Schizosaccharomyces pombe: one gene and its partners. Each later gene encodes a partner of the first gene's protein in a complex. Each region holds a gene or a part of one and is shown on either strand. Other genes may lie near its edges. The genes, in order: snr1, rsm24, bot1 and rsm23.

The links.
Region 2: snr1 (region 1) and rsm24 share a complex: the UniProt entries of both Schizosaccharomyces pombe proteins name them as parts of the mitochondrial small ribosomal subunit.
Region 3: snr1 (region 1) and bot1 share a complex: the UniProt entries of both Schizosaccharomyces pombe proteins name them as parts of the mitochondrial small ribosomal subunit.
Region 4: snr1 (region 1) and rsm23 share a complex: the UniProt entries of both Schizosaccharomyces pombe proteins name them as parts of the mitochondrial small ribosomal subunit.

Annotation. Positions count from the first base shown.
Region 1 is NC_003423.3:2,978,114-2,984,245, forward strand, and holds snr1 (mitochondrial 37S ribosomal protein mS47 ), read left to right. Parts: upstream 1-2,888; 5' UTR 2,889-2,948; coding exon 2,949-4,238; 3' UTR 4,239-4,327; downstream 4,328-6,132. Other genes in the region: MBF transcription factor activator Rep1, read left to right, coding at 1-471; mmp1 (endopeptidase catalytic subunit), read right to left, coding at 793-1,011, 1,059-1,185, 1,229-1,356; yml6 (mitochondrial 54S ribosomal protein uL4m), read right to left, coding at 1,548-2,333; fib1 (fibrillarin, rRNA and histone methyltransferase), read right to left, coding at 4,651-5,568. UniProt on the Schizosaccharomyces pombe protein: Component of the mitochondrial ribosome (mitoribosome), a dedicated translation machinery responsible for the synthesis of mitochondrial genome-encoded proteins, including at least some of the essential transmembrane subunits of the mitochondrial respiratory chain.
Region 2 is NC_003424.3:560,974-566,777, reverse strand, and holds rsm24 (mitochondrial 37S ribosomal protein mS35), read right to left. Parts: upstream 2,853-5,804; 5' UTR 2,609-2,852; coding exon 2,314-2,608; intron 2,305-2,313; exon of another isoform or gene 2,226-2,304; coding exon 1,744-2,225; 3' UTR 1,705-1,743; downstream 1-1,704. Other genes in the region: phospholipase D Pld1, read left to right, coding at 1-1,610; exosome subunit Rrp4, read left to right, coding at 4,811-5,800. UniProt on the Schizosaccharomyces pombe protein: Component of the mitochondrial ribosome (mitoribosome), a dedicated translation machinery responsible for the synthesis of mitochondrial genome-encoded proteins, including at least some of the essential transmembrane subunits of the mitochondrial respiratory chain.
Region 3 is NC_003423.3:2,230,210-2,236,323, reverse strand, and holds bot1 (mitochondrial ribosomal protein subunit S45), read left to right. Parts: upstream 1-3,201; 5' UTR 3,202-3,212; coding exon 3,213-4,160; 3' UTR 4,161-4,541; coding exon of another isoform or gene 4,542-4,718; 3' UTR 4,719-4,781; downstream 4,782-6,114. Other genes in the region: SAGA complex subunit Spt8, read left to right, coding at 614-668, 716-2,241; SPOM_SPBC14C8.15 (triglyceride lipase-cholesterol esterase), read right to left, coding at 4,542-4,718, 4,782-5,835, 5,891-6,007, 6,062-6,096. UniProt on the Schizosaccharomyces pombe protein: Component of the mitochondrial ribosome (mitoribosome), a dedicated translation machinery responsible for the synthesis of mitochondrial genome-encoded proteins, including at least some of the essential transmembrane subunits of the mitochondrial respiratory chain.
Region 4 is NC_003423.3:2,064,446-2,071,040, reverse strand, and holds rsm23 (mitochondrial 37S ribosomal protein mS29), read left to right. Parts: upstream 1-3,050; 5' UTR 3,051-3,102; coding exon 3,103-4,533; 3' UTR 4,534-4,854; downstream 4,855-6,595. Other genes in the region: gef3 (RhoGEF for Cdc42/Rho3/Rho4 (Gef3)), read right to left, coding at 1-655; ribosome biogenesis protein Rrs1, read right to left, coding at 2,148-2,648; telomerase reverse transcriptase 1 protein Trt1, read left to right, coding at 4,931-5,188, 5,245-5,325, 5,397-5,515, 5,567-5,829, 5,866-6,258, 6,298-6,368, 6,408-6,595. UniProt on the Schizosaccharomyces pombe protein: Component of the mitochondrial ribosome (mitoribosome), a dedicated translation machinery responsible for the synthesis of mitochondrial genome-encoded proteins, including at least some of the essential transmembrane subunits of the mitochondrial respiratory chain.

The DNA of each region.
Region 1 (6,132 bases):
CTAAATGGTGATATCCAATATCCTGCTGTTACACCAAAATTTTTTCAACAAGAAGGCCGGGCCCTTAATGTTTCCGACTGTAATTTTGGAAATGAAGAAATTGCTTACGGTGGAATTCCTATGCGTGTTTGTCATAGTGATAGCACATTATGTGATGCCAGAATTGCAGCTAAGCAAGCTTTAAAAGGTAAAAGGCAATATGACACATCAACATCAAAAGCAGAGCTCTCTACTCCCCCATCAAAACGAAGGCATATTGATGATGCCGATTTAGTTTTTCACAGTAGTCCCTTACTGTCACGCTCGCGATTCATTTGTTGCTACTGCACGAAGCCTTTCCTTTCAATTAGTAAACTTCAGGAACATGAGTCCTCGTGTTCACATGTTGAGCGACTCTTTGGGTTTGCCCCAAATCGTCTTTATGATGATGGTGATGGATTTTTGGGTTCGAGTTTTTGCAGTGATTGGTAAGATTATAGCATGTTTCGCTGCATCTATTTGATTGTCCAGCAGCTGAGATTGCTACGATTTATTCTTTATTTAAAACACATTTATTTCATGCTTTATTACTTATCATTAATCTTGTACTTTAATTTAATTTTTCATAGTTATTAATCTTTAATTAGTGTTTATGAGGCGATCTTTGAAGTCTCTCTTTTGTTTTTAGAATTAGCATTTTTTTCAAACAAGTAATTGCCAACTAACATAAAAATATTAATAAATTCATACATTTCAATTAACATCTGGTGAGCCAAGAGTGAGTTGTAGAATAATATTTAATGCTCATAATACCTATTCCACATCTATGTCATTCAAAATGTTAGACATCCAGTGGGGATGTGGCCATACACGAGCTATAACTTTAGCCTTAATAAGGCCCATTGGAACAGGTCCGTAATTTCGACTATCAAGTGAGTGAGCAATGTTATCTCCTGCAAGCCAAACATGACCTAAAGGTATAGTTATTTTTTTATTTGAAGAGGTGGGATCGACATAAATTGTATCTCCTGGCTATAAAATTAGTACAAAAAGGATAACGTTCCATGTGAAATACTCACCATTCCAATGATTCGTTTGCACACGTGTTGCTTTGAATCGGAAGGTTTTGCCGAAACAACAACATCTCCTACAGAACATGAACGAGCAAACCTACCATGCAATTTATCTAACAAAACGAATTCACCACTTTTTAAGTTAGAACCATAAATACAAAGCGTTATTTCAATACCCAGAATTTAATGTTGGCATCATACTTGGACCCGATGTCATTTGCACTTGAAAAAGATACTCATGAATTTGATGCACAAATGCAGCAATCTGAACGACGGCAATAGGAATACGGAACATGCCAGCCATTGTTAACCAAGAGGTAACTAATCAAGACAGTAAACTAAATAAGCCGAAATTAAAAAATTTAAACACGACAAGAGAAAGGATTGAAAAAAGAATTAATGATTGTGGATTATAATGTTTCCGTAACTACCAAAATCGGAAAATGTAGATTCATGAAATTCAAAAACAATTGAAAGATATGCGTTTATTTCATATCATAGAGATAAAGACGGTTCAGGTTTTGATTTCGTAAAAGAACTACTATTTGCATCAACATAAGCAGTCAGGGAAGCAGGTTGATCCATATCACTTAGTGTATTTCGTTGAGCAAACTTCTCTACAATTAACGACATGGCTTCAGAATCAATAAATAGTTTACCGAATTTTAGTGCATCTCGAACCTGAAACTCACCAACAGGAATAAAGGAGCAATGGTAGCCTAACTGTCTAGATGCAAGCAATAAATTATTATTTTTAAGGGACTCATCTTCAAAGTAATTATCGTTAAGGACAAAAAGTGCCTTCCCGTACTCGTGTCCTAACTTGTGTTGCTTCAAAACTTCAAGCAAAATCCGTGTTTTTGGTTGACTTAAGTTGATGGGATTTTCAAGGATGGTCAGTTCATTATTAATAAATCTTGTACTTAGCGCAATCCTCATTGCTAAATTATAAACTTGGGTTTGTAATTTTGTACTGAAATCTCTAGGCTTAGGACCATGTGATTTAGCACCACCTCTTCTTATAGGACTTGAGGCATCGCCTACCCGTGCATGTCCTGTACCTTTTTGTCGATAAAGTTTTCGACCGGAACAAGTAATTTCATTTCGGCGCTTTGAGCTAGCAGTGCCTTGACGGTCATTATCTGCTTCATAAATAACGGCACGATGCAAAATATCTCGACGAAATCTTTCTTGCAGGAAACTTCCGGGAATAAGAAAAAGACTCGCGGGCTCCAACGACGGAAATTTATATCGCACCAAGTGCAACATTTTTGCTGTCATTCTGATTAGTTTGTGAAATGGACGACTAGTACCTGAAGAATGGATGTATTTTACTTTCAATTAGTCTAACACAATGTACTAAGTATCACAATGCATTTCATTATAACATATTGTGCATTCAAAAGTATCGTAAAGCGTAAAGTATCGAGTTCATTAAATTACGTTGTTTTATGCAACAGGAACTTTATGACTGTATACTGTTAGATAAATTAATGATATCTCATTCATTACCTAAAATAGAAGAAATAATTATTTATACTATGTGATGTCGTACATTAAATATTTGGAATTTGCTCATTCTGACACCTTAAATTGTTGTTGCAAATAGCACCTGTGTATTACAATAACAGTTTTGAGTACTCAATGCTATGCAACAAGTGGTTTAAGACTTTTAAAATCGACAAACCCTGAGAAACTAAATTAATACTAAATATAGATTTTTTGAGACAAGTATTTGCCCAGCTAATGCATGGAAACCTACTTTGTTTTACGAATGGTCTTTTGTGATTTGTTATTAGTTCACAATTAAGAACACACTTCGTTATAAAGTAACGTAGAAGAGACGTTAACCGTCTATGCAAAAATAATCGGTGTTATTTAACTTGGTTAGCTTTCATGGGATTGAAATTAAATATCTCTAACGATTTGAAAAAATCTGGATTTATGTTAAGGCAATCCTTACTTAAAACAAGTGTGTCAAATTTCCTTTCTTTGAATGCAAGTAGCACCATGTCTAGAGCGTTTATTCGAAATCCAAAATTTTATAGCACTTCCTCAAATGATACAGTTTTATACGAGAGTAAAAATGGAGCAAGGATATTTACTTTAAACAGGCCAAAAGTATTGAACGCTATCAACGTTGACATGATAGATTCAATCCTACCAAAGCTAGTTTCATTAGAAGAATCAAATCTGGCCAAGGTAATTATTCTTAAAGGAAATGGTCGCTCTTTTAGTTCGGGAGGTGACATTAAAGCTGCAGCACTTTCAATACAAGATGGAAAATTACCTGAAGTTCGCCATGCATTTGCTCAAGAGTATCGATTAAGCCATACGTTAGCTACATACCAGAAACCAGTTGTGGCTTTGATGAATGGCATCACCATGGGAGGTGGATCTGGTTTGGCTATGCATGTTCCTTTCCGTATTGCGTGTGAAGATACGATGTTTGCTATGCCAGAAACCGGAATTGGCTATTTTACTGACGTGGCTGCCAGTTTCTTCTTCAGTAGACTACCAGGATACTTTGGAACTTATCTGGGATTGACATCTCAAATCGTAAAAGGATATGATTGCCTGCGTACTGGAATTGCAACTCATTTCGTTCCGAAGCATATGTTTCCTCATTTGGAGGACAGGCTTGCAGAGTTAAACACGTCTGATATTTCTAAAATCAATAATACAATCCTGGAATTTGCCGAATTTGCTAGCAGTTCACCACCCACTTTTACTCCAGACGTTATGGATGTCATTAATAAATGCTTCTGCAAAAATGATACCGTTGATATTATTCGTGCGTTAAAAGAATATGCTTCAAACACTAGTGCTTTAGCGGAATTTGCAAAATCTACCGTTAAAACATTGTATAGCAAATCTCCGACTTCAATTGCTGTTACCAATCGACTTATTAAGTCTGCTGCTAAGTGGAGTATATCTGAAGCATTTTACTATGATCATATCGTTTCCTATTATATGCTTAAACAGCCTGATTTTGTTGAAGGTGTTAATGCTCAACTTATTACAAAGACCAAAAATCCAAAATGGAGCAAATCCCATGAATATCACTTTAAAGATTTAGAAAACTATTTCAAGTTGCCTTCAGAATACAATAATGGGATATCTTTTGCTGCAAAAGGAAGACGTAAAACTCCCCTTTGGAATTATAAGACTTATCCTTATTTATAATCCCAAAGGTTACATAAATTAAATATTGTTCTTTATGTCTACTAAGTTTTTTCAGTATTATAATAAGATGATTTATTTCAAAGACCCTGTTATGTTTTAGCATGCGATAAAGCACATAACTCTTTTTAGCAGCTAAAAATAATGATAGCCATTTTAAATACTCATACTAAAACTCTTTTTCGGTAGCTGTGCGTACGATAGTTCAAAAAAAAGAATGCTAACGGCATTAATATATATTCCATAATTCCCATATTGGATCAAACAATGAGAAAATAATTGACAAAACTGCCAAACGCATACCCAAAATATATTTTTATTATTCCAATTGCTCACGGCCTTACCATAAGCTTTTCTAGCAAAAAAAATTATATGATAAACTAAAAAAGCATGCACTTATGGCATATATTTCTGTTTACTGATGTCTCAAGTATTTTCCTACGATGATACAGTGATCACGTTCGTAAGGCTCTAAAGTAAGTTGTTCTTGAGGTTTAATCTTTTCCTCTTGCATTTTCTTAACCTCACGAGCAAAAACAACAGCTGCATCAGCGGTAGAATCAATACAAGAAGCCTTAACAGAGATAACAACTCCACCTTCGTTTTTCAAAAAGGCGGCGGCGTTCAAAGCAACGATACGAGCCTGATCGGGTTGAGCAACGTCTGCAAAAACAACGTCAACCATTCCGACTAACATACGATACTTTTGAACATGGCGAGCATCCTCAACAATGGGGATGACATTCGTGCGCTTTTTAGCCATGTTAAGAAGATCACGTCCAGAACGATGAGAAAACTCAACAGCGTAGACAAGACCCTCAGGACCAACAACATCAGCAACGTGAGAAACGGATGTACCGTTAGCAGCACCAAGATATAAAACACGTGCACCAGGTTTAATATAGATGTTGTCTAAACCGCCCAAAATACCTGCGGCAAGTTTAGAACGGAAAGGATTCCATACACGGTATTCAACTTTGGTACCATCTGGGGAATCAACGCTAATACGTTTTTCATTGTATACTGATTCACCAGGCACCAGATTGCGGGTGACAAGCAAATCTTCTTTTCCGCGAGCAATGAAGACACCTGCATGACGATGAGGCTCAATAATAACTTTAGCACCTCCTTTGGCTCCACCACGGCCACCGCTAGAACCACCGCGGCCTCCTCTGGCACCTCCACGACCGCCACGACCGCCACGAGCACCACCGCGTCCTCCTCCTCTGGCACCTCCACGGCCACCGCCGAAACCACCACGGCCACCATTGAAACCACCACGGCCTCCTCTAGAGCCACCTCGTCCACCTCTTGAACCTGGTGTATATGCCATTATTTTTTTTTGTGGTAGGTAATGGGTCTGTAAAATTTTTAGGATAGCAGAGAGGATTACAGTTGGTGTGACTACGAACACAATTCTGCAACGCTAAAAATTTTTACGAGTTCGAAACAATCTGTAAAACCTCTAGTTAACGAAGGTAAACAACGCTAAAGCTAACTTAATGACATTAGTAGCATCGCAGTGTTATTATTTGCAGCTCATAACTTCTCATTAGTAAGGTAAACATATGTAGCAAAAGATGGGTTCCTGCTGTTTGAAAAGCAATTGTTTTAGGTCTCAGCAACAAATTAGAGGTATTCAATATAATTCTTTTGAAAGATTGGTGAAGAGAATGAATAGACATCTCTACTTGTGTTCATATAATAATTACGTTTTGACAATCGAAGTAACTAAACTTAGAGTTACAAGAGGTAGTGATTTATTGTCAGAACCGTTATTAGTTGTAGTTCTTCCAACCTAGTACTAGTTCTTATACCTTATCATATAAACTCGGTGTGAGCTAACAATGCACTTAAAGATTGTTAATTAATGTACGAACAGATCTAGCTTTGACGT
Region 2 (5,804 bases), on another chromosome or scaffold:
CTACCACTTGTGAAGGTACGACGATAGAAAATCGTGTTGGAGATGCTTTAGTTGAGAGGATTATAAGGGCTCACAAAAATAATGAAAAATGGCGTGGTGTTATAATGATTCCGTTGCTTCCCGGTTTTGAAGGTCAGATAGATTTACAAGAGGGCGGTAGTCTTAGGTTGATTGTGGAATGTCAATATCGCAGCATTTGCCATGGTGAACATTCAATATTTGGAAGGTTAAATGCCAAGGGTATTGATGGCAGCAAGTACTTGCGTTTTTATGGTTTGCGCGGTTGGGCCCATTTGGGAGAAAACCATGAACTTGTGACTGAAATGATCTATGTTCATGCTAAAATTCTTATTGCAGACGATCGAGTTGCGGTCATTGGTTCCGCAAACATTAATGAACGTTCTTTGCTTGGTAACCGCGATTCTGAAATTGCTGCGGTAATTAGAGATACTCTAACCATTGACTCCAAGATGGACGGTAAGCCCTATAAAGTTGGAAAATTTGCACACACTCTTCGGAAACGACTTATGAGGGAGCACTTAGGTTTAGAGACCGATGTGCTTGAACAACGAGAATACAACATGGATGGCTTGGATCGCGATACAGAGTGGAAACGTGTAGAAGTCTGGACTCCTGATGAAGGCAATGCCATTAATGGTTCTGCTTACACTGCTGAAGAGTTGAAAATGAAATATCGTTCTCAGAGTCAATTTACCACTACTCCAGACATCTTACGAAAAGCTGAAAAGAGTATGAAGAAACTAGATCAACGTGTCAGTTTAATTCCTTCTTCGATTGAATTCAATATTAAAACTCAAAAGGACAAGGTCGAGTTTGAAAAGAACTACGAGAAGTCTAAAAAAGGGCCTGATGTTATAGCCAACGCCCTAGTAGGCGGCATCCCCTTATCACTGAAAACAAAGGAGGACTCATTATATGAACTTTCCAAGTTCTCTCAATGTGGGGAGGATCAACGTCCAATGGTACTTAAAGACCCTGATCATCTAGTGCCTGAACCCAGTCGTCCACACTGTGGAAATGGACTTGTGTTTTATGATGATATACCATTGCTTGAGGTGAATCCTATTAGTGGAGAAACAATTCCTAAATTTGACGCTTCAAGCTTTGAGGACCCCGTCTGCGATGAATTTTTTGAAGACATATGGTCTAAAGTGGCTTCAAACAATACTACTATTTATCGGCACATATTTCGATGTGTACCGGATGACGAGATGCTAACGTGGGAATCATATAATGAGTGGAAAAAATATGGAAAACGCTTTAAAGAAGAGCAAGCCCGCTGGCGTCAGGAGGAGTTGTCAAATCTACACGAAACTCATGAAAAGTCAGAGAATGATCCAAAAAATCCAAAGGCTGGTTCCCAAGGTAGTGGTAACACGAGTGCAAGTGAAGATTCGAAGACAGAGAAACCAAAAACCCGTACTAATAATGGTTTACAAGTTCCTGACAAACGTGTAGTTTACGACTTACTACGTGGCATTCGGGGACAGTTGGTAGAACTTCCATTAAAATGGATGTCTACCGAATCAAACGCAAGAAATTGGCTCAGTAGTATTGACAAAATCCCTCCGTTAGAAATTTATGATTAGAGAAACAGTACCTTTTATACTACAGTTTTATTTCATCTTAATATAGTAATGAGAAGGATTAATTCCTTCAATATTAGCTTACATTATAGACTCGTTAATTTTAATAGTAACTTAAACAAACTTTCCTTTCATATTATTCATCTGTAGTTGCTATCGATTCTCGTTCAAGTACTGTATTATGTGATTGCTTGCCAATCGTTGTTTTCTTTTTAGAAGTGAGTGTAGTTGCGTCTGCGAGCCATTCCTGTGGCATCCGTTTATCACACTTCTTGTATTTCCAATGGCCAGTATTCAATGGGACATGTGAAAATTTTTCAGCATTTCTCTTCGATTCTTCAATGAGCGAAGTTAATATCTTTATAAGATGATATTTATTTTGTAGTGCAGAAGAATACTTGTCGGAAGATATTCTGACTAAATCCTCCTCCGGATTATATCTTGGTCCAACCAATAATCGTAATACATGTCGTTGTTTCTCCTCTAGCAAAGGAATATTCGTAACTTTAAATGTAACAACGACCTTCGGATTCATTTTCTCAAACGAAGACATTTGGACATCAGATTCAAACCTAAAGATCTGGCTATCAGCAGGCTTTTTAAAAGACTGTGTGTAAGCTATAATTGTCAGAGAAAATGGAACATTAAGCATATTAAAGTGATTGTGAAATAGAATTCCTAAGGTAAAACTACCCAGTAAACTTACGCGTAAGTCCAGGAAGCTCATAAGCAGCTTTCCTATACAATTCACGTATGACCTCGTGCTCTTGTATTTTCTGCCATGATAGATTATTGGAATGGACGTTATCATCAATTGTTTTCAATTCCTTCTCGTCATGAGGCTCGATTCCAAAAGGCGCTGACACATAAGCACTTCGCTTAAATCTTGTAAAATAGAAAACAGAGAAAGCTCTACTAGTAGCACAAAAGCTTGATTTGGAAAGTTGCCCGAGGAATATGGCATCTGCTTTCAATAAAGATAAAAGGGGATTAAAAGCCATTTTATAACCACCCAAAACACTAAATATATGTAATATTTGTATTATAAAAAAAAATAAACCACATTTAACGAATGCGCAGTAGTGTATGATACCGGATTTTATATTTTCTTTGAAACGAAAAGAGTGGCCGTTATAAATGGAAATCTGAATCTAACAAAAACTTTTTTTCTAAAATTTAACAATCCAAATGCTCAAAACAATTAAATAAGCTACAAAAAGGTACTTGAAGGGGATAGTGAAGAATGTATAAACATTGTTGTCCTTGACTTGACTTCGTTGTATATAATTATAACACACTAAATCTTAGTAGTTAGAACCAGTAAAAACCACATAATAGACTGGAATGAAGGTTAGTAACGTAAAATAGCATCGATTCTACTCAATTGCATTTATAACATCTATTGAATAAAAACACCTAATAATACTTTCAAGCTTTTTTTTTTCTTAGGAATTTAATAGCACTTGCTTCCCATCCTTTTTTGGCATTCGCTGTTTAAAAAGTGTGTTAGTTATCCTTATATTTTGATTTTCGTAAGCAAGACTACACTACGTTACGCTGCGTATCACTATATGTCATCTGTTAGGATAGATTTAAGATTCGTTTACTAATAATTGCTGATAACTATTCTTTTGAGTACTTGTTTGTGTTTGATCATGTTTACTCCAAAAGATTATAAACAGAGTACATCTGAACAGAAACAGGTTCGTTTATATGTTAATTAATGGCAGGTAACAACGTAACCCATGTATAAATACTTACAACAAATTGCTACCCACATCACACCTATATATAATATGATATTACCGATCACAATGAAAACTCACAGAAGTCAAACAAGATACTACAATGCGCAGCTAGATAATATTGCACTTTCATTACTAGCGCTATTTAGTAAATAATTAAAAGAAGTTCGATTCAATTGTAAGTTTCATGAGAAAACAGGAAACTCCATTTAAGAATGATTTAAATATAAGAAAAAGACGCAATGTTTTTAAGAAAATGGGGTAAACAGAGTGATGGCAAGTCATCTGCTCAGCGTCTAGTCATTATTATTCCCTGTATGTGTTAATTCAAGCCTATCAAAGTAAAATAAAAAATTTTTTACGAAATAATCTTTTATTGAACTTGATTTAAAAAATCTGTATTTTTTATTTAACTATATTATTATGAACGTGAAATAGTGCTTAATTGGGTTCTTTAACCGTGATGTTTACAATGTTTGTATTGTATTACTTTTAAGTTAAGTAAAAACTAAATACCTTGACCCACATAACTTGTTCTTTGCAAAAATGTTAAGGAGCTGAGTATTTTAGAGTACTCAACACGAATGGAAGTCAATGCATATAACAATCTGTAGACAGTAATATTAGACTGTTAATGTTTACATGAGTCATTTGTAAAAAAAAAAAAAAAAAAAAAAAAATTATAAAATAATTGAATAAATAACCTATTACAGAAATCTTCAGACAACGATATTTTATTAATTTATTCCATTGCAATATTGCTTTAATACAATTTGGCTTGACATTGTGATGGAATTGACATGGATAATTTAAAATAATTAATTAAAAATTTTGTTGAAATTAATTGACTATTAACAATTCATGAAGTATCGTAAATCTGCCCTGATAAAATAAAATTTAAAAAAGTGTTGAAAGTGTTAATGGCTTTATAATTTGTAAACTTAGCCGTTTATTAAGTTTGAATATTGATAATTATTGAAGAATAAAGCATTATTTCCATTTTTTCTTCGTTGATTCATAGCTTTCATCAGACCTCTTCTGACCAAGGTTGACTAATGTATACAATTTGATTTTAATGACAATTCTTTCTTCTTATTAATAGTTTTTGCATAATTTTTCCCCAGCTTCTTATTTAATCCATCGAATATTTCAAATTTACTAACCCATCATCATTTTACCTTTAGATATTTTACGAGGAGCAACGCGTTACTTTAGCGGTTTAAAATTCTTTAGCTTTATGAATCAGTGTAAATTTCACTTTTGCATAAACACTAGTGTAAAAGCATTACAGGAGACCAGATTTGGTTTAAATTTAGTGGCTATAGCTAATTATCCAACATAACCCGACTAATCTTGATTTGTGGAAAGGGTAGTTATTAGTTTTGTAGTTTCTAAGAATTCTAAGTCGTGGTTTGTCCCAGTATCTTCTTTTGTCGAATTCAAACGAAATACTTAAAAATGGTTACAATTTTAAAACCTGAAGAATTCTATGTTTCTAGTGAAGCTGACATCGTAAACGATGTTTCCATGACTGAAATGGAGGATGAAATAATGGAGGATGAACAGATGGGTCTTGTAGACGGAGAAGACGTTTTAGAGGAATTTGATAAATCGATACATCAAAATTTAGTTACACCCGGACAACTAGTGACTGATGATCCTCAATTTATGCGCGGTCATGGAACGTATTTCGAGGATGGAGGAATATATGCATCTGTTGCGGGATCTGTACAAAGGGTCAATAAATTGATATCCGTGAAACCTCTTCGTTCTAAGTACGTTCCCGAAATTGGTGATTTAATCATTGGGAAAATTGCTGAAGTCCAACCAAAACGCTGGAAAGTGGATATTGGTGCCAAACAGAATGCTGTGCTTATGCTCTCTTCTATTAATCTTCCTGGTGGCATTCAAAGACGAAAACTAGAGACTGATGAGCTTCAGATGCGTAGCTTTTTCCAAGAAGGCGATCTCTTAGTTGCGGAAGTTCAACAGTACTTTTCCGATGGTTCTGTATCAATTCATACACGTTCTTTAAAATATGGAAAACTCAGAAATGGTGTTTTTCTTAAGGTTCCTCCTGCGTTGGTCGTTCGATCAAAATCACATGCTTATGCTCTAGCAGGTGGAGTCGACATTATTCTTAGTGTAAATGGATATGTATGGGTTTCTAAACATAATGAAAATCAACATTCGTCAGTGAGTATTACCAGATTGGAGGAGGAAGCCTCAGAATCCATATATTCTAACGAAAACGATGAGATTGATGGGTATACCAGATTAAATATATCTCGTGTATCCATTTGCATTAAAGGGTTGGCTAGTCGCTCTCTCCCTCTGACTCAAGCCTCAATCACCAATTTTTATGAATCATCTCTTGTTTTCTCAAACCTTCAAGATTTGACTGTTCCTAAAAATATGGATCAGATAGCAATGGAAGCAATGCAGTGACTTT
Region 3 (6,114 bases), 750 kb from region 1:
TAATTTTAATTATATTTTACGGTCAATTTCAATATTTCTTTAGTTAAAAGTTACTAAATTTTTGACTGCTTGCAAGCCCCAGAGGTTATAAGTTTAATAGATCACTTACAAGTTTGTTAAAACACATATTCTAATACTTGATTTTTCAACATACCTGCCATAAGTATCAATCTTTTTGTTGTTTCTTAGTACGGGCGACGTGAAACCATAAAAGTAGTATACTGGGTGCTACGGCGAATAACAGAAATATGTTTCCAAAGAGAAAGTGCTTCCTATTTTTTCTATGAAAGTAGATTGATTATAAAAAACAAAGTTTACCTTGTCAAACTTCCCCATTCATTTACCTAATGTTCATTGCGGAATAGTGTTTTCTCTCGCTACTTATTTATCTTAAACGAAATAAGGATCGTTTAGTTGTACTCTAATGGTAACATTCAGTGAAACTTAAGACTTTATTAAAGCTTTTTATTGAGGTATAGCGTCTACGCTAAATATATTCAACGGTCTTAAACTTATAATTCCTTTTAATATCTCAGAGGGAACGTAAACAAAACATATTGTTGCTGCATTGCAGCATTTTAAGGTTACAACTCTTTTTGTGTATATTTTAAAGATGGAAGCAGAAGAGAGTGAGTCCTTTTCATATCCAATGTTGCTACCTTCTGACGGTTCGTTTTATAAACGAGATATCACTTCTTACTGACTTCAAATCTAGGACTTTATCCAGAAGACGATGATGATGCGGATATGGATCAGGATAAAAATCCTGAAGAAAATGTAATGAACGAAAAAGAAGATGAGGATGTAGACGCGGTTGATGAGAAGTCCGGTGAAGAAGACGTGGAGATGGATACAATGGAAGATGAAAACGAAAACGATGAAGATACTGAGCAAACCTCTGAAAAGAAGGAAACTGAAGAAACACCAAAGGAAAATCCACTTGAGAAATTAAAACAAAAGGCTTCAACGGCCAGCTTTTATGATGTGGTGCCTACCCTGGCAATCCCTATGGCTACCAGCATAAACGCATTTGCTTTCACATCGGATTTAAAATGGCTTTTCACTGGTGGGGAAGACGGATATATAAGGAAGTATGATTTTTTTCCTAGCATTAATGGTGATCTCTCCCTGACTGTTGCACAGAGACATCCCTTTGTGGATACAGTAACGAAGGCTGGAATATTACTCAACTACTGGGAGAATGCTTACGATGGAAATAAACCATCTTCGGTATATAGCCTTGCAGCTCATTCCAGAGGTCTTTGGGTTCTTTCGGGCGTCAATAATGGAGATATTATACTGTACTCTACAAGACATCAAGAGGGTTATCCCGTTACTTCTTTAAAAAAGCATACGGCTCCTGTTTCGTGTTTAGCATTACATGGTTCCGAGAAAAAAGTATTGAGTGGAAGCTGGGACAAAATGGTTTATTACTGGGACCTTAACACTGGTGATGCAATATCTACATACAATTGTGAGAGTGGTCAAATTTCGAATATAGTTTATCGTCCATCAGGCGCTGTAAATCCTTGGGGTTCTGAATCGGACGACATGCGTAGTTTGTTCGGTACACCTGCGTCTTCCTCTTCTTACGATGCACTGTTTGATGAAGAGGTGGAAAAAGCCATTGAAGAAGAAACTAAATCTGTTCAAGCAAATGAGGAGAACGAGACAGAAAAACCCTCTCAAACCGAATCTACTACTAACAATGACAACATAAAAGCTCCTTCCGAATCTTCATCCGAAGAGTCCAATATTTTCTTAACGACGTCTATAGATGGAGTTATGAATGTATGGGACCATCGCATGGTCGATTCTGTTCTCAAATACCCCGTCCCCAAGGGTGTACCACCATGGGCTATGTCTGCATGTTGGAGTCCGGATGGAAATAATATATATATTGGCCGCCGAAATGGAATCGTCGAAGAATATAACATTCACTCTGGCAAGGAGCCTGTTCGCTCTTTAAAAATGCCTCTCGATTCGGGTCCTGTTTCAAATGTCTATTCGATGCCGAATGGCCGTCACCTTGTAATTTCCTCCTTTGATAATATCCGCCTTTATGATCTTCAAAGCAAGGCCGGCATAGGGTTCTTAATTATTCCAGGTCATCATGGAGGTCTTGTCAGTTCGCTTTATGTAGACACTTCTTGTCAATTCATGTTTTCAGCTAGTGGAAATCGAGGATGGCAAGGAACTACTACTGAAGTGTTCCTCGGATACCAAATAATGACTTCATAAAATGCTTTCTCTAAAACACATATTCGCAATAATGTACATTATGATAATAGACTGAAAGGAAGTGGGTTACGATTTAGTCGGTCAAATACAAAATGGTCTTTGAAAGGCACTTTGGATTTTGCCTTAGTAGGGTCAATTATATGCCTATTGTCGTTTAACTTTAAAAATCTTTTTGAATTGTCTCCCTTTCAACATTTGAAATAAACATCTCAGTTAAAGTTTTTAGAATAATTGTTAAGCCCATGCACTCTTCATTAGTTGATTGCTTTTTGGGTTTTTGGTTACTCTCTAAATAATTTGAGGTAAGTTTATAAATGTTTCCTTAAACCTATTTCCCCTTTTTTGCCGAATATAATAAACTTAGGTATTAAGCTGAGATTGTTGGTTATGAACTTTCTGACAAATATGATACACAAATCGTTTTGTTTGTATAACATGTATTCTAAAACTTTCCTCTACTTTAATTTTCAATTTGGAATTTCCTAATCAATTTAATGCCATCCATCCGCTTTATTATTTGTTGATGTGTCAATTGCCAAACAAAAATATCAAGGACATGCGAAACTCTTGTCTAAAGAAGCAATGACCGTATTTAATGAATTTTTTTCGTTTGATTCTGTAGAAATTATGACTTAAATTGTGTATTTATTTTTTAAGTATTGATGTGTATAACTGTTCGTATCCTAATATTGGAACTGACTCTCAAACATTCTATAGAATAAACAAAATCTTACTTTATTGCATACTGAGAGTTATTGTCTCATAAATAAATCAAGCGTCTGTATGTTAATCGGATCTTATAATGGAGCTAGATTGCTTGACCGCCGGAGGTTAAATTTGAGTTTTCCTAAATCGTCTCATTAATTATTGGTTTTTTGAAGTTTATTTTCTATATCTATCTTGATGAATAGAATTAGGGCGTGTTACTAACTTTTGGGGAGTGACACAAGAAACCTTTCCAACGCACCTAAATGAGGAATTCAGTGGAATTCTCACAGTTAGGGCTTAAAACGGCTTTTAATTTATCTCAAAATAAAACTTATACCTCAGCAGTCAAGAAACAATTCTTTAGTACTGGAGCATTTTTAAGCAATGGGGGAAATATTGATTTAAATAAACACACTCAAAAGAACATTGATTCAAAGTACGTTGCTTGCAACTCAAGATCTGTAACACCCCCAAATGATGTTGCTTCTTCAGTTTCTAAGAATACACTTCGTCATAAACAACGTTTAATGATGGCTCAATGGTTAATGTCTCCCGAAGTACAGAAAGCAAAGTCCTCATCATCTGGTAATGTAGGCTTGGGACCTAATACAAATCAGCCCTTCCCTTTAAACCCTTTTTTTAAGCCTCCTAGGCCTATATCTCATTCTTTGCGTATGAAAATTACCGATGAATACTTGCAGGGTGCAAGTATAGAAGTGCTTGCTCGAAAATTCAACACATCTCCACAAAGGATTGAAGCTCTTATAAAGTTGAGAAGAATAAATGATGAATTCGAAGAAAAAAAGAAGCCGATTCTTCATAGTTATAATGAAGTTATGGAGAAAATGCTGAACGCATGTACTAAACCTGAGATGATGCAGTTTAATGACGGAAACGATATTCCTTTGCGTTCCAATCCAGTATCCCTTTGGAAGAGTTTGCCTGAGGGAGAAACGTTTACACCTCAAGAGGCTGCTAAAATCCTGAAGTGGCCTTCGATTGAGGAATTAAACATGAGACAAAACGCTACTCACTTCCACAAAACATCTGATGAGCACAAAGATTTGAATGAAGATGAAGAGCTAATTTCTTCAAGCCCCAGCGAAGTTGGGAAGCGTGTTTTTAGGCTCATTGATCTTTCTACTGGTAATGTGTATAGAAGGGATACCGGCGGGGATATTTATGTTAAGAGAAAAAAATCTACTACCTGAAAATCAAGCATTTATTTCCCGTTTTTGAAAGAAAATTTACCCCCTTAGCATGCATTAGCGGCAGTACAATCCATTTCAAACTTTTGCGAAATAAAATCTTGAATTGTTACAAATTCACTCAGCAAATTCTTCTAGTTGTTGCATTATCTAAAAGTTATTTGTACATATAAAAATTGCATAGTTTTTTTTGCTTTCGTTGCCATATTGACTTTTTCAAATTAAACAAAGAAACTTTTTTTAGCCGTTTAATACAAATACTGATAAGAAGGGTTGCACATACGATGAAACAGTCTATACAACACTGTGCTTCAGTTTGATTTAGAACAGAAACTTATCTAACATATTAAATATACATTGTGCCAGTTTCAGAAGCGATGAACACTATATTGTATGGTTCATAACGCCGTCAACCAATTCTGTGTCAAGTCCAAATTCTTCTTTTATGCTTTCAAAGTAATCTCCAGCAATGACATGATTTAGTTGTTCTACGACTTGCTGAATTACTATGTCCTTTTTCGTATCTCCCATGATGATGTCGAGATGCTCATAGTTAGGAATCTTTAATTTTAACTTGTTAGTTTCCACTTAAGTAAATGAAGCTACAACTGTTTCAGAACATACCTGAATGCATTGAGATAATGGTGGAAGTTGGGTCTTGAGTGTTTCAATGTCCACCATGTTATCGTTACTGCCATAAACTAAAGTAATAGGTAGACGTATATTTTCAATCGGATAGCGAGCAATTCGGTTAAGATTTGTATAGTAACTTGGCTTAAATCCTGGACTGTCATCGTACATTTGTAATACTTTGCGACGCGTAATTTGAGCCCAATGTACAAAGCATTTGACAGAAGTAAAGGAATATAGATGGGAGTATGCAACGATTTTCTGAGTTTCGGAAATATTTTTTCCGGTCCAGCTCAGAAAAAAGCGAAGAAACAGATCAACAATTTTTGCAAAAACTGGCGGATATAAAACTGCTTGCCAAAACACAGCAGAACCAAGCATGGAATTTCGACCGAACATTAGGTAAAGAAGTTGGCTATTAGCGTGAATAATAGATTTAACGGTTCTACCACTATACTTTTTAGGAGCAATTGCAGGAGCTAGAGCAATAAATGCTCGTACGGAATTGCGAAGTTCAGTATCAATAGACAGCGCTGCAAATGCTAATATAGCGCCCTGAGAAAATCCAACAAGGCTTATAGAATCAAAACTGTTAACGGACAGTATATATTTAACAATGGAAGGTATGTCAAAAATAGCGATACTATCAAGACTGAAATCCCAAAACTTTGGATTTTGAGAGCTGAATTTGATATTCTTTATACTATATTTGTTTCCTCGTAAGTTTCCAAGCCAAACATCGTATCCTTGTTCCACAAGAGCAAATGGAATGGCATCTTCCTTTTTCAAGTTGCAGACCCAACTTTCAGAGTTCATCATTAGCCCATGAATAAATAATACAGGTGGGAGATAATTTAACTCTTCAATTTTTCCTTTTTTCTTTTTATACACCCGATGCAAGCCAAGCAAGTAGCCATCAGTTGTACGAACAAAGTGTTCTTCCAGATCATACCCATGAAGTGCACATAAATCGATGGTATCTCTTGCATCAGTTAATTTATTCGCGTTATCATCTACCAACAATTCAGGCAAAAAGTACGAGTATACTCTGCAAACCCCGAGGTTAGTATCAGTGACAATGGTATAAGTAATAGCTGACTCACTTTTTTGATTGCTCATAAAACCAATTCCGAAGTGGACTAGGTAAAATAACTGTACATATTCGAAACATGCTCTCCAACGCAATCAGTAAAAAACTGATTAAAATTTCCCCCTTTTCTCTAAAAACAAATGTTAGAATTTTCGTAAAATAGCAAATACAGAGAGCAACTAACAAGCAATATTTCATTATATTTCCATTCAGAGTCATTTTAGTTTTTTAATTAGC
Region 4 (6,595 bases), 910 kb from region 1:
AAAAACTATCTAAATTCCAAGAGTTACTTTCAATTTTTGCCATGCTATCACATTCCTGCAAATATTCTGAGATTGATGAGTTCTTCATCCATTTTTCCACCTTTTTGCCAATGTTTTCTTGAATCACGCAGTATCGACCATAGACAGCAGATAGCTTGGGCAACCATGAAAGAAATAGTTGTGCAACGGAAGGCTTAGGCTTCAAACAGGCATCTTGATCATCCAAAATGTAATTGATTTCGTCGTTCAAGGATTTGTGCATTTCGATTTCGAAAAGTGATGCTTGCTTGCACAATACCAGAAAAATCTCAAACACATCTTTCCATTCGCTTTTTTTTACTCGGTCCGATAATCGGTCAGCATAGTACCGTTGAGCTACATGCAGATCATGAACGTAAGCGGCTTCTGAATCACGAAATTCCTCCAGAACAGAAATAATGGCTTTTTGTTTACTCCTCATAGCAATCGTCGATTCTGTGGTAGTGCTACAACTAGTTCTTGTCGACCTTGTTTCAGTTTCATGTTGACTTAACGCTATGGTCCAGTCAGGCCGTAATTTCAAAGTATCTTCTAAAGTGTGTGTCGAATTGGCTATAGGCAAGCTATCTGAAACAACTCTTTTTCCACGGCTTTGGAACATCCTTGGGTTACTCATCTTTAATCGGCTGTTGATTCAATGAGTTATCTACTCAAACGCGGGCACTTAGGAGTTCGTAGCGCGTTTGATTAGATCTCACAAAGCTAAAACAGAGTAGCAAGGCCGTTGATGAGTCGATTTCTTCTTTAAATACAATGCTAATTTAATCCAAAGAGTAACGCTTTTATCAATGAAATAGTTGAATAGCTGTTTTCTTTGTTGTTGCGGACGGCAAGAATAACCAGGTTACCTTAGTGGATATAGGAAAGAATTCCGCTTTTGAAAGAATGACTACAATGATATTGTACTTTATCAACATAAGCAAAGTTATTTGTACATAAATTATTTTCTTTTCTTATTTTTTAAAACTAACTAGTGGTCTTTGGGGATGCATTAAGTATTTGCTTAAAATATCGAACGTAAACAATACTTAGAAAATTAATGATATACACCATAAAATCGACGAAGTAGCCAACCGAGAAACAAATGATAATATTGGTAAGCTTTTTTTTGGATTAATGAGTTTTTCTTTAATTTTTTTTCTATTTATTTGCATTTTTTAAATTTTTTTTATTATTACTACTAAAAGCATCAATCTCATATCAAAATTAATTATTATGTTAAATATTTAAATAAACAAGTCAGTATTAGAAAACTTATTATACACTCGGTTTAAAAATGATTAGAAATTGAAGTATGGCTTGCACATTTATTTATATAATCTACTAAAAATTTATGTTTACCACTCAAAAGGATATGTTTTGATTGAGTATATCATTCATAGAAAATGCAAAAACCAATTTTAGAACATAAACAATTATATTTTTAAAAATTCACAGCTATATTTGCATCAGCCGGGAGTCGAACCCGGAGCTAGAGCATGGGAAGCTCCAATGTTACCGCTACACCACTAATGCATTCAGATATTTAGACTGATGTTGCAATCTATATAGTAATTTAGAAAGGATTGTTATTGTTGAGTCTGATGAAATTCTGTTTGTTGAACATTTCAAAAATGTTGCATATCAGTTAGCCATGAGTTGGGCTCTTAATATGATGTTCCAGCCTTTTAAGACTGCATACAGAAAATAATAATTAACTACGATATGGTCGCATTTTAACTGTATGAAACTTTTTTTACAAGAGGTTATTAGAAAATTCAATTGGAGGAAATCCCACAGTGTATCAAAACAGTTGCTGTTAAAACTTACTTTACACTTAACTCGTAAACATTCAACATTTTAACGTTCGATTTTCGAGTAGCAGCTTCAAAAAAGTGCTCGTTAATTTTTAACACATAAAAATGTGTAAACAAAGCAGCCACATAACCGATGTCTTACATATTCCTTCTGTACCCGTTGATATCCCAATTGAAGAAGGGATTTTAGTTGTAGCAAACAAAAACAAACGATAATAACAAAATAAAAATGATATTATACCACTTAACCCATGAATAGCTAAATTATAGTAAATTTTTAAATTAAGAAAAATTTTTTTTAAGCAGGACCAATTAATGGCGACGAGAGCGCTTGATTTTTTTTGAGGTATTTCTCACTTGCTTGGAAGTAAGCTTCTTTTCCTTTTCTCCCTCTTCAACAAGCCATTGTGTCTCTAATTCCTTATTTTTACCCTTATAACCCCATTTTGGTACCCATTCACCAGATGCTTCATCAAACACCAACCTGCCTTCCCGCTTCTTAGGAGCAATACCTTTAATACGAGCAAACCGTTGCCATTTGGTTTCGGGCTTGGGTTTAGGTAAAGGTTTAGCACGAGGAAGAGGTGTAACAGTTTCAGGAAGCTGTAAAAGGACGCCATCTGATGTACGCTCCTTAGGCAAGGAAATCATTTTGTTCACCAATTGTTGAACGTTATCTCTACTGAGAGAAAAAAGGAATGATTCTTTCTCTGAACCGCTAAGCTTAGTTTCATCTAAGGGAGAAATATCAAATGCAGCCATATTTCCCAAATCGAAATCTAGAGGAATGGAGTTTTCTATTTGTGCAGACATGATTAACGAAATAGGGACAAGGAAAAAAAAAGGGTTGATAATACAATTAAGTGACAAAAAGTTCTCAAAAAAGACTGCAAAATTGATTTGTTAAAAAGTTGGTTCAGGATACGAAATTCTTCTTTCAAACTCCAAAATTTTTATCAAACTACTGAATATATAAGAGAAAAAGCTCTCTTTCAGTTCAGCAATCTACTGTTTTTACTTTCTTTATGACAAACGAAGAAAGTAAGAAAACTTTTACGATTCTTTAGTTTTTGCAAAAGTAGAGACACTTATTAGCAATACGTTAGTTCTCTTTATTACTGAACGCCAAATCTACCCTATTAAAAAATATTAGCAATGCGCTAAGAGCTCAGTAAATACTTACCATCCGGAAGCAGTCAGTCTCTTCATTTACGTGAGAACAGATATGTATACTTAAGATTTACGAGAAAAAAATACCTCTAACAAAATGCTACCGAAGTTTAGAAGCAGAAGTAGTATTATTAAGAATACAGAGAGAATTTCTAATATCCTGTCCGGTGGAAAACTGACTGTTTGCGGTAGTAAACTGGGAGGACTCTACACTTTTGAAAAATGCACATTTAACAAATACTATTCATCCTCACAATACCAGCATACGGGTAGACCTGTTGGAGGAAATATACATTCAAGCTCTAACCAGCAGCGTCAAAAAAATTCGGAAGCGCCAAGAATTAATGAAATTCCCCCCTCAACTTCGTCAGTAGAGAAATCGACGACTATTCCCAATAGTAGCGTTGTATTGGATCATCTCTTAAATGAAGGAGAAAATACTTTAGAAGAGGTGAAGCCCTCTGAAATTCATCCGCATATGTCTTGGTCCAGCAAGTCTGAAGGTAAGATGTTTAAAATCCCCGAGGAATTGCTTAATAAACTTAATGGATTTGGGGCTTTAGAAAAACAAAAAAAAAGTTTCTCCTTTTTTACCAGTGCTTCCCTTTTGCACAGGAAAATTACAACTGAATTAGTGAATGTACTGCAGCGCTCCAAAGACCAGGGTACGAAGGACGGACGTTTTCTTCTTGATGGTGCTCCAGGTTCAGGAAGAAGTATTGCTCTCATACAAGCTGAACTTTTCGCCTTATCACAACCTAATTTTATAGTCTTGCCAGTCCATAACTGCGAAGGATGGGTAAATTCAACGAGTAGTTATGGTTATGATGAGCAACTCAAGTTGTGGGTGCAACCAGATTTAATTAAGGGATTTCTAACTTCTGTTATGAAAACTAATTCTGATAAACTTAAGAAGCTAAAGACCTTTGAAAGTCATGAGTTGCTTCAGAACGAATGCATTCCTGCTGGTACCGATTTACTTTCCTTTCTTCATAAGCTAATTGCTTCCTCGAACGCTCCTAAATCTCTGGAAATATTTTTACAAGAACTCAATAACAATACCAAGTCAAATTCCAATATGAAGGTGTTATTAGTGATCGATAATATTTCTATTTTATCGGTCGTTACCAAGTATAAGGACAAAAAGAACAACTTCCTTCCCCCTAAAGACTTTTACTTTATTAATTTACTTTTCAAATATATTTCGGGTTCGCTTACTTTTAATCGTGGTACTGTTTTAGCTGCTACTTCTAGCCAACCGCGTGTTTCTACCCCGTCATTGGATATAGCTCTTGGAGTAGCTCACAGAAATCCTTACAAATCTTCTGATGAGACTATATTAGATTCATTACAGTCCGTGCATATTCTTAACATGGAGCCTTACACTTTAGATGAGTCACGTCGCATGATGGAGTATTTGGTATCATCCAACGTTTGCCTTGAAAAGGTTGATAATTATTTGCAAAATCATGTCCTTAGTGGTGGTAATCCGCGAAAGTTTTTTGATGCTTGCACACGTCTAGCATGATTGAGATATTCAAAAATTTCTATCCACTACAACTCCTTTAACGCGGTTTTATTTTTCTATTTTCTATTCTCATGTTGTTCCAAATATGTATCATCTCGTATTAGGCTTTTTTCCGTTTTACTCCTGGAATCGTACCTTTTTCACTATTCCCCCTAATGAATAATCTAAATTAGTTTCGCTTATAATTGATAGTAGTAGAAAGATTGGTGATTCTACTCGTGTAATGTTATTAGTTTAAAGATACTTTGCAAAACATTTATTAGCTATCATTATATAAAAAAAATCCTATAATTATAAATATTAATCAATATTTGCGGTCACTATTTATTTAAAACGTTATGATCAGTAGGACACTTTGCATATATATAGTTATGCTTAATGGTTACTTGTAACTTGCATGACCGAACACCATACCCCCAAAAGCAGGATTCTTCGCTTTCTAGAGAATCAATATGTATACCTATGTACCTTAAATGATTATGTACAACTTGTTTTGAGAGGGTCGCCGGCAAGCTCGTATAGCAATATATGCGAACGCTTGAGAAGCGATGTACAAACGTCCTTTTCTATTTTTCTTCATTCGACTGTAGTCGGCTTCGACAGTAAGCCAGATGAAGGTGTTCAATTTTCTTCTCCAAAATGCTCACAGTCAGAGGTATATATATTTTTGTTTTGATTTTTTTCTATTCGGGATAGCTAATATATGGGCAGCTAATAGCGAATGTTGTAAAACAGATGTTCGATGAAAGTTTTGAGCGTCGAAGGAATCTACTGATGAAAGGGTTTTCCATGGTAAGGTATTCTAATTGTGAAATATTTACCTGCAATTACTGTTTCAAAGAGATTGTATTTAACCGATAAAGAATCATGAAGATTTTCGAGCCATGCATGTAAACGGAGTACAAAATGATCTCGTTTCTACTTTTCCTAATTACCTTATATCTATACTTGAGTCAAAAAATTGGCAACTTTTGTTAGAAATGTAAATACCGGTTAAGATGTTGCGCACTTTGAACAAGACTGACAAGTATAGTATCGGCAGTGATGCCATGCATTACTTATTATCCAAAGGAAGTATTTTTGAGGCTCTTCCAAATGACAATTACCTTCAGATTTCTGGCATACCACTTTTTAAAAATAATGTGTTTGAGGAAACTGTGTCAAAAAAAAGAAAGCGAACCATTGAAACATCCATTACTCAAAATAAAAGCGCCCGCAAAGAAGTTTCCTGGAATAGCATTTCAATTAGTAGGTTTAGCATTTTTTACAGGTCATCCTATAAGAAGTTTAAGCAAGGTAACTAATACTGTTATCCTTCATAACTAATTTTAGATCTATATTTTAACTTACACTCTATTTGTGATCGGAACACAGTACACATGTGGCTTCAATGGATTTTTCCAAGGCAATTTGGACTTATAAACGCATTTCAAGTGAAGCAATTGCACAAAGTGATTCCACTGGTATCACAGAGTACAGTTGTGCCCAAACGTCTCCTAAAGGTATACCCTTTAATTGAACAAACAGCAAAGCGACTCCATCGTATTTCTCTATCAAAAGTTTACAACCATTATTGCCCATATATTGACACCCACGATGATGAAAAAATCCTTAGTTATTCCTTAAAGCCGAACCAGGTGTTTGCGTTTCTTCGATCCATTCTTGTTCGAGTGTTTCCTAAATTAATCTGGGGTAACCAAAGGATATTTGAGATAATATTAAAAGGTATTGTATAAAATTTATTACCACTAACGATTTTACCAGACCTCGAAACTTTCTTGAAATTATCGAGATACGAGTCTTTTAGTTTACATTATTTAATGAGTAACATAAAGGTAATATGCCAAATTTTTTTACCATTAATTAACAATCAGATTTCAGAAATTGAATGGCTAGTCCTTGGAAAAAGGTCAAATGCGAAAATGTGCTTAAGTGATTTTGAGAAACGCAAGCAAATATTTGCGGAATTCATCTACTGGCTATACAATTCGTTTATAATACCTATTTTACAATCTTTTTTTTATATCACTGAATCAAGTGATTTACGAAATCGAACTGTTTA